Sus scrofa: one gene and its partner. The protein of the gene in region 1 purifies or fractionates together with the protein of each later gene. This does not show direct contact. Links are inferred from orthologs where the notes say so. Each region holds a gene or a part of one and is shown in the gene's direction. Other genes may lie near its edges.

Region 1 (4,350 bases):
ATAGCCATTAAACAATAATTCCTCATTCCCCTTCCCCAGCCCCTGGCACCCACCCTTTTACTTTTGGTCTCTACATATTTGACTGCCCTAGGGACTTCATGTAAGTGGAATCACACAGTATTTGTCCTTTTGTGTATCGTTTATTCTATTTAGCATAAGGCCCTCAAGGTTTGTCCACATTGTAACAGGTGTCAGGATTTCGTTCCTTTTTAAGGCTGTGATTTTTTTTTTAAGAGCAGAATCTGTGACATATGGAAGTTCCGAGACCAGGGGTTGAATCGGAGCTACAGCTGCAGACCTACACCAGAGCTCACAGCAACACAGGATCTTTAACCCACTGAGCGAGGCCAGGGATTGCACCTGAGTCCTCAGGGCTACTAGTCGCGTTCATTACCACTGAGCCATGAGGGGAACTCCTGTGATTGGATTTAAAAAAAAAAAGTTCTTCTGGCAGCTATGGCAAAACAATGGGGCATGGGAGCTGGGGAGAGTGGAGGCCTGGTGGGGGAACTGCCATCCCAATGGGAGTGATGGTGGTGGCTGGGCAGTGGGGGAGGAAAGCAGAGGCACAGTGTCATTTGGAGCAGCACAGGCAGAAGCAGGTTTGTCCATGTATTCGTCCACAGGCACCTGCTTTGCCAGTTGAGGAAGCACTGGTGGGGAAGGTTCCCGCGAGAGTCAGACCAGGTTTGAGGTCCTTGGCTTGGGTGTTCACCAGCTAGTGGCCTCGGGCAGCATCTGATCGTTCAGCGCCTCCTTCACCTCCCTTGTGGGATGCAGAGGACAGAAGGACGCAGCCCGTGAGGAAGCCCTCGGTGGGGGCCCCCACCCAAAGCAGTGTCTTCAGAGCTGAGACGTGGGCTCTGCAGGGCTTGAGAGGCGACCGTTGGGGCTGGCCGGGGGCAGACTCAGAGCTCTGTCTTCTGTCAGGAGATGGGTGTGGGCCGCCAGCTGCGATCAGCCCCCAATATCCCCGGCCCGCCCTCCTCCGAGGTTGCACCAGCTCTTTTTAACACGGCGCGGAAAACGCACGGCCCGTAGCAGAGCGGGCGAGAACTTCTGAAAGGGCGGGTTTGGTGGCGCAAGGCGGGCTTTCCCGCGGGAAGGCTGGACGGCACGGACGCACGCGGACCGGCAGGAAGCTGAGTGTAGCCGAGCGGCAACCGGTAGGGGGCAGGCCGGGCGGAGGGGCCCGGAGACCTCTGCTCGCCGACCCCTGCCGGGCGCAAGGCGCGCGCCGGACGCGGTGGGGCCCGGAAACGCGCCGCCTGGAGCGCAGGTATCGCGCGGCCCGCGGGCGCGGCGTGGGGAGGGCGGCGCGGGGAGGGCGCTCCCCCGCCCGGACCCGCCCCGAGCGGCGGGGGCCGCGCCTGCGCCGTGCGACGCGGTCCCCTGCCGACCCAGCTGGCAGCCGAAGTGGCGGCAGAGCCCTCCTCCAGGGGCCAGGAAGTGGGGTCCCGTCCCCAGGACCCCCCTCCCGCTCCTGGCTCCTACCCAGGGCCCCGGTCAACCCGGCCCTTGCCTGGGCACCGCCCCCACGTGGTGGATGTGTGCCGGGCGCTCCGGTCAAAACCGAGGAACGGGAAGGTTGGAGGTGGGGCTGGACCCAGGGCTCTGCGCCCAGAGGCTGAGGAAGAGGGATGGGGGCTGGTTAGGATCTGACCCCTCTAGGAGGCCCTTGTCTAAGTTTCCAGGTTGGGGCAGGAAGCCTCACTTCTCCCCCTCCCTCAAGCACATCCCCGGCCCCTGTGCACACGGAGGTCTGAGCCTGGCCCTGTACCCCAGCGACTGCCGCCGGCTGCTGCCTGCTGCCGTCCCAGCCCTGGACAGGCCCATTCCCCGCCCCATTTCAGCAATGATCTGTCCAGCCTAGGCTCCCGGCTCAAGGCCAGAATCCCTCCAGCCAGAATCCCCTCTTCTCTGGCTGGGAGAAGGCCCAGCTCCCTCCTACCCATCCCCCCCCCCACAGCCTCCCTGGGTCCTGCCTGCGCAGGCCTGCCTGGCGAGCTGGGACATGTCTGGCCCCCGAGGACAACCGGTTTGCGATGGCTGCAGTGGTGGAGGGCAGGAGCCAGAGCCGTCTGCTGCAGAAGATGCTGCAAGAGATGCTACGGATGCTGTGGCCGTGGGGCCGGGGACGCTCCCTCTCCTGGCCGGGAACCGGCTGAGCCTGGACCTGTACCCCAGGGGCTGCCACCGGCTGCTGCACCTGTGTGCCCAGCAGGTCCCTCAGCTCCTGGAGGTGGAGTTCCTGCAGCTGAGTGGCCACGAAGACCCTCGGCTGCTGGAGGCCACCCTGGCCCAGCTGCCCTCGAGCCTGCCTCACCTCCGCTCCTTGGTTGTCAAAGGTGAGCCGCACCCGGTGTCAGCTCTGTCACAGCCCCATCTCTGGCTCCTGCCTCTGCATCTCAGTCCCCAAAGGCAAACCGGGTCCCAGCCCCGTCACTGTTCTCTGCATGGCTCTACCCACCCTTTCTCTTCCAGCTGCTCCTAGACCCAGCAGCTGCCTAGTGGGGGGTCTCCGGCCGGTCCCAGGGTGGGTATTTTTCCTGGGGCAGGTCATGGGTGACGGCTGTCAGCTGAGATGAGCCCGCCTTGTCTGTTCCTGCCTCCTCCATCTGCTGGTGTCTCTCTAGCATCTAGGTTTGTCTGTCCCTGTCTTGGCGGACTCGGGATGGAGGGCTGCGTGTCCGTGCACCTGTTGCCCTGGGTGATGGGGCTGAGATGGGCCCCAGGGCCCCTGGCTCTGAGGGCCGTGTCTGCCTTTCCCCGTCCCAGGCGGGCAACATCGGGACGCTCAGGGCGCCTGCCTCCGCGGCTCCCTGGCCACGCTGCCTGCTGGCCTGAATGGCCTAGTCCGCTTGGCCCACCTGGATCTGAGCTTCAACAGCCTGGAGACGTTGCCGGCCTGTGTCCCGCAGATGTGTGGCCTGGGGGCCCTTCTGCTCTCTCATAACTGCCTCTCAGAGCTGCCTGAGGCCTTGGGGGCCCTCTGCGCCCTCACCTTCCTCGCTGTAACCCACAACCGCCTGCAAACGCTGCCCACGGCCCTGGGGTCCCTGTCCACCCTGCAGCGCCTCGACCTCTCTGAGAACCTTCTAGACACTCTGCCCCCTGAGATTGGAGGCCTGAGCAGCCTTGCTGAGCTCAATCTGGCCTCCAACCGGCTGCAGAGCCTCCCTGCCTCCCTTGGTGAGTTGTAGCCTCCGTTCCCTGGGCCTATGGAGAGTGCCCATCGGCTGTTGCAGGCCTGCTCTCTCCTGACGCCCCTTTCTGCTCCGCGGGGCCCTGCGCACGCGGGCTTGCCAACTCCCGGCCCTTGCTTGCCCCCCACTTCCCGGCCTTCGAGGCTCCCAGCGCCGGCCTGCCGAGCCTGCTAGTCCTGCCGCAGGGCAGGGACTGAAAGGGCTTCTGCAGGAGGCCCCGGCATGCGCGGCCTGGCCTGGCGCTCCGGCCCCGACCCTCCTCCGCGGCCCTAAGCCGGTGCCTGTCCGCAGCGGGGCTGCGCTCCTTGCAGCTCCTTGTCCTGCACAGCAACCTCCTGGCTTCAGTGCCTGCTGGCCTGGCCCGCCTCCCGCTGCTCACCCGCCTGGACCTGAGGGACAACCAGCTCCGGGACGTGCCACCCGAGCTGCTCGACGCCCCCTTTGTGCGCCTGCAAGGAAATCCTCTGAGTGGGAGCCCCCCCACCCCCCGCAGTCCCCCAGGTAGGCCCGTTGGTGGGGAGGGGGCCCACCACAGACAGAATGCGGGTGTCATCACTGTCCTGACGGGTGGTCTGTCTTTCCACAGGGACACCCGTGGTCCCCAAAATGCCCAGTCTGTTGTTGAGCTCAGACCTGGACAGGTAATGATGTGGGGGATACGTGGGGCTGAAGAAGCATCCGTCCAGCCTGTCACCCTGTCCATGCTGTATGCCTGGCTCACGCCTTGAAGGCCTCCTAGAGCTGCCACACTCAGACGTCCGAGCCCCTTCCCGTCTGACCCGATGCCCACCCCGTCTTCCCGCAGCTTTGCCGTGACCCCCCTGGGCTGCTCGGTGACCCTGACCTGCGGTGTCCGCCTGCGTTTCCCTGCTGGTGCCACCGCGACTCCTGTTACCGTCCGCTATCGGCTGTGGCTGCCGGAGCCACGCCTTGTCCCCCTAGGTCCCCACGACTCTCTGCTCAGTGGCGTCCTGGAGCTGCAGCCCCACGGGGTGGCCTTCCAGCAGGCAGGAGCAGGGCGGGGGGGCGGGGGGCAGATGAGGAGGAGGACCCAGGCCCAGCCCCAGGCTCACACCGCCCTCGCTTGGCAGGAGGTGGGTCTGTGGCTGCTCTTTGTGCCTCCGCGGGCACGGCGTTGCCGGGA
Region 2 (4,536 bases), on another chromosome or scaffold:
GAGCTGACACAGAACTGACTGTTGGCTTCCTAGCTCCTCCTGGACATCATCAGCAACGTCTGCTTCTTTTTCCTGGGAGATCTCAAGCCTTTCCAAATACAACAAATCAGTAAGGCATTTTTTTTTTTTTTTTTTTTGTCTTTTTTCCATTTCTTGGGCCGCTCCCGTGGCATATGGAGGTTCCCAGGCTAGGGGTCAAATCGGGGCTGTAGCCGCCGGCCTACGCCAGAGCCACAGCAACATGGGATCCGAGCCGCGTCTGCGACCCACATAACAGCTCACAGCAACGCTGGATCCTTAACCCACTGAGCAAGGGTAGGGACCGAACCCGCAACCTCATGGTTCCTAGTCGGATTCCTTAACCACTGCGCCATGATGGGAACTCTAGGCATGTTTTAAAAATAGGTAGTTTTATATGGGTTTTTTTAGTTGGTGGTGTTAATAATTGTTTCAGCCTTATCATATGTTTGAAAATTATCAAATTTTACAGTTGGAAAAAATAATTTTTTTTCCTCCCCCCAAAGTCAGTAACCTCAGCTATTGGCATTGTCAGAAGAACTCTGCATTTTATCTGGAATGTTGCTAACACCTGTCCATAAACAGAAGGAGACTCTCTGAGAAAAGAACAGCAAAAGAACAAAAGAAGAAGAGGAGAGTGGAGACAATACCTGTTACTCAAGAGTATCAAGAGTAGAGGTGGCACCAATTATTTACTAGCATTTTTCTGTCATTAGAAGAGCAGACTTTTCACCATACAGGGATGTGAGATGTTCTCTATACTGGAAAGAGCATGAAATCAGACGGAGCGAATGAACTCAGGTTTTGCTATTTGTTAGCTGTGAGGTTTTGGTTAAGACACCTGACCACTTTGATTCCACAGTCCTCACATATGTAAAATGCTAATTATACTACTTTTCACCCAATGTAAAAATAGTGTCACTGGCATAGTAAAATGGCATATTGGTATAGTAACACTTTAAAGTGGTTACAAAAATTAGAACGTTTCAAAGAGGTTTAGAATTGCTTTCCATTTCTGATTCAGTTTGCCGATGTTTACTAGTCATTCTTCCATGTTCAGATCTTCAGTCTTTCTAATAATCGTGAAAGTCCTCAATGCCTCATGACAAATGCCTTTCTGTCCAGAACAGCTCGCGGATTGCTTTAATGAATTCCTACCTGATTGACTTGTAAACTCTTTGTGGGCAGACCCTTGTGATATAAAGGAATGACTGCAATTAGTGGGGGGTAGGGGTTGGGGATGGACTGGGAAACATGATAAACGAATGATTAAGTAAAAATTTTAGTAAGATGGTGATATGTGCTTCAGATAAAATGAAGCTGTAAGAGGGATGGGGAGGGCAGAAGGTGAATATTGCAATTTTAAAAGGCATGGTTGAGGAAGCTGCAATTTTATTTTATTTATTTTTTTAATTGTCTTTTTGCTTTTTCTGGGGCTGCTCCCTCGGCATATGTTGGTTCCCAGGCTAAGGGTGTAATCGGAGCTGTAGCCACCGTCCTAAGCCACAGCCAGAGTCACGCGGGATCCCAGCCGCCTCTGCGACCTACACCACAGGTCAGGGCAACGCCGGATCCTTAACCCGCTGAGCGAGGCCAGAGATCGAACCCTCAACCTCATGGTTCCCAGTCGGATTCCTTAGCCACTGCGCCACTACAGGAACTCCAGGAAGTTGCAAATTTAAATAAGAGTGATCAAGGAAGGTCTCCCTGATAAGGTAACTTTCGAAACCTGACTATCTATTACGTCAATTGAGTACAAAGCCCTGGTGGAGTTACTGTGTTAAAATACAATTATCCAGTGACTCCTTTCCTAAGCGAAGGTACGTTTTCCATCTCCAGAAGGTTTCAGTATTTACCCACAGCAAACATGGCGGAAAAGGCTTCATCCGAACACACTCGGGCCACCAATAAAGAGGGCCACAGCGCTTCCTGTGTTTGCCCTTAACAAAGATGGCTACAACACTTCCTGTTCAGGGCTCTTGCCTTCAACAAAGATGGTGCCCATGGTACAGGTTCCCTGACTGTCTGGATTCCGGTTGCAGTTTGTTCTGTTTTGTTTTTAAAGATACGTGTTTGCAGACGTAAGTAACAGGAAACCAGAACCCCCGTATCCATCTTTTCTCAAAGACCCCGCGTCGTGGCATCTGCAGCCTGGGCCCTGCAAGCCCCCCCACCGTCCCGCCCCGTGACTTGCTCGCGGCGTCCCCGAGCCCGCGGGGTCGGGGTGACGGGGTGACGCTCTCCCCTCGGGCTCCCCTGCAGACCATTCCCAGCACTCCCTTTTTAGTGGGTCAGGTTGCCTAGAAAATCTTTCGTAGTTCTTCCTGTTGTTAATGCCACAGAGCTTGAGCTGGCAGGGCAAGGAATAAAACGAAGTCCCAAACGAGTAGGAGTTGCCCAAAGTGCACACCGCCCTGCTTACCTGCCGCCCCTCGGGGTCGCCCGCTGTGGTGGTACTTTCTGTGGGTGTTGTGAAGCCCCGTCGGCCGCCCCGGCCTCCCCTCTCCGCCACTTACTCTCCTGGCTGGCCCTCTGTTCACTGCTGCAGTGGTCTTGGAAGCAAGCCATCAATGGCCTGTGGACATTTTTTTTTTTCTTTTAAAGGAAACAAACACACCCATTAAATATCCCATGCATGTGTGGCCGTGGCAGTGTTGTGATGGAGGTTTGGAATTCTTCCAGGGAAGGGCTGGAGTCTGTGATTAGGTGTAAGGTTTACTGTAGACTGGGCAGGAATGTTTAATGTTTTCCTTGAAGGCCTTTTCTCTTGGTGAAAAAGATTCTTAAACGTATGGTACCCCCACAGGTTTCTGGCCTCACCCCCACTGCGGATCAGGTTCGGCACATGCCCTGGGTCTAAAGGATACCCACATGGATATCAGCAGTTTCTGCCGTGATGGGGTTATCTCTGATGAAGGCAATGTTAAAATAAAAAGCACTGTTTCTTCTCAAGCATGCTAAAATGAAATGCTCCTCTGTTATCCTCAGAAAAAAATTGCTTTTAAAGTAGGGTCTCTGATCCACTTTTTTTCCCAATCTCTTTATGGAACAAGACTGGAGCTAGGACCTCACTATGTAGAGAGCAAAAACAAAGGGCATGATTCATGCTCAGGGCTGTTCATCACGTTCAGGAACATTGGAAATTAATTCAGCTCGGCTTAACAGCTGCGTATGAAACACCGTGGCCTGGCACTCTGCTAATTTTCAGAGACGTCCTTGACCTTAAGGAGTTTGCATTGTAAGAGCCTTTTTAGGGGCTCATCAGGCATCCCGTGATCTGAGCTACCTTTTGTCTTTTCCCAGGGGCACATGGAGGCTAGAGACAAGCAAGTCCTTCGCTCCCTTCGCCTGGAGCTGGGTGCAGAGGTGCTGGTAGAGGGGCTGGTTCTCCAGTATCTTTACCAGGAAGGGATCTTGACGGAAAACCACGTTCAAGAAATTAAAGCTCAAGCTACAGGCCTTCGGAAAACAATGCTGCTGCTGGATATCCTACCTTCCAGGGGTCCTAAAGCATTCGATGTATTCCTAGATTCCCTGCAGGAATTCCCTTGGGTAAGGGAGAAGCTGGAGAAGGCAAGAGAAGAAGCCATAGTTGAGCTGCCTGCAGGTAGGCCTCAAAATGATCCCTCCAGACCAGCTCCCAAAGTGTTGGAATTGTGCCCTTTGGATGTGAAGTTGGGGTTTTAGGCTGCCTGGGCGTTGGCCTGTCCTGAAAATGGGTACGGAGTTTGTGCTGAAGGCACCTGGCGTTGGTGGGACCAGATGAGGAGGTGGAGCTAGGACGTGCAGCGGGGGAAGGCGCAATGGGCCATGGCTGGGAGGGTGAGGCGGGAACGCAGCGGATAGTTTAGAAATGCTTCCAGGGAAAGTTGGCAGGTCCCTTGGGAGGCATGTTCTCCTCTGAGAGCCAGGTCATGTCTCAGCCCTTGGCATCAGGAGCCATTTGGAAAGTGCAGATGGGAAAGTAGGCTTCAGGCGTCCTGATAACTGATGTGTGGGGTGCCAGAGGGGTGCCAGAGCGGCGGGCCGGAAAAGGTCAGACTCATGAAGGAGGAGACAGCGTCTAGGAAGGCACGCCTTGCACCTGCTCCATGGCCCACCCTGCGTGGCCAAAGGGGATTATTTGGAAGGCTGGCTTTGTTTGTTTTTAAAGGCTGTTGATTTAAAGTCTTCCTTTCAGGTGGGCTTTGTTTGGACACCTGGAGTGTTTAATTTGGTGTGGACAGTGCTTTGGGGGAGGGATGGCTCCTTTTGATTTGAAGGAACGTTGGAAGCTATGAAAAAGAGAAACCGTCCTAGGGTTATCAGCCTGGCTTGTGTCGGAAGGAGATGTGATAGGAAACACTTGTTCCCTCTTAACACCTCTCATGCTTTCTACTTTTTACGGAGATTGAGGAGCAGAAAACTGAACTGGCCAAAAAAAAAAAAAAAAATTTACTTGCTTTTTTTTTTTTTTTTTTTTTTGTCATTTTTAGGGCCGCACCCGTGGCATATGGAGATTCCCAGGCTAGGGGTCGA

Evidence for each region.
Region 2: the proteins of PIDD1 (region 1) and CRADD purify together in Homo sapiens (affinity purification with western blotting; 8 studies listed by BioGRID and IntAct, with this or other methods). This does not show direct contact. The link is inferred for Sus scrofa from reciprocal best matches to the Homo sapiens genes PIDD1 and CRADD.

The regions. Positions count from the first base shown.
Region 1 is NC_010444.4:501,900-506,249, reverse strand, and holds the start of PIDD1 (p53-induced death domain-containing protein 1), read left to right. Parts: upstream 1-1,354; 5' UTR 1,355-1,546; coding exon 1,547-1,594; intron 1,595-1,969; coding exon 1,970-2,348; intron 2,349-2,636; exon of another isoform or gene 2,637-2,643; intron 2,644-2,778; coding exon 2,779-3,192; intron 3,193-3,497; coding exon 3,498-3,707; intron 3,708-3,792; coding exon 3,793-3,847; intron 3,848-4,011; coding exon 4,012-4,213; intron 4,214-4,297; coding exon 4,298-4,350. UniProt on the Homo sapiens protein: Component of the DNA damage/stress response pathway that functions downstream of p53/TP53 and can either promote cell survival or apoptosis.
Region 2 is NC_010447.5:89,477,577-89,482,112, reverse strand, and holds the start of CRADD (death domain-containing protein CRADD), read left to right. Parts: upstream 1-1,707; 5' UTR 1,708-2,099; intron 2,100-2,440; exon of another isoform or gene 2,441-2,689; intron 2,690-3,321; 5' UTR 3,322-3,327; coding exon 3,328-3,625; intron 3,626-4,536. UniProt on the Homo sapiens protein: Adapter protein that associates with PIDD1 and the caspase CASP2 to form the PIDDosome, a complex that activates CASP2 and triggers apoptosis.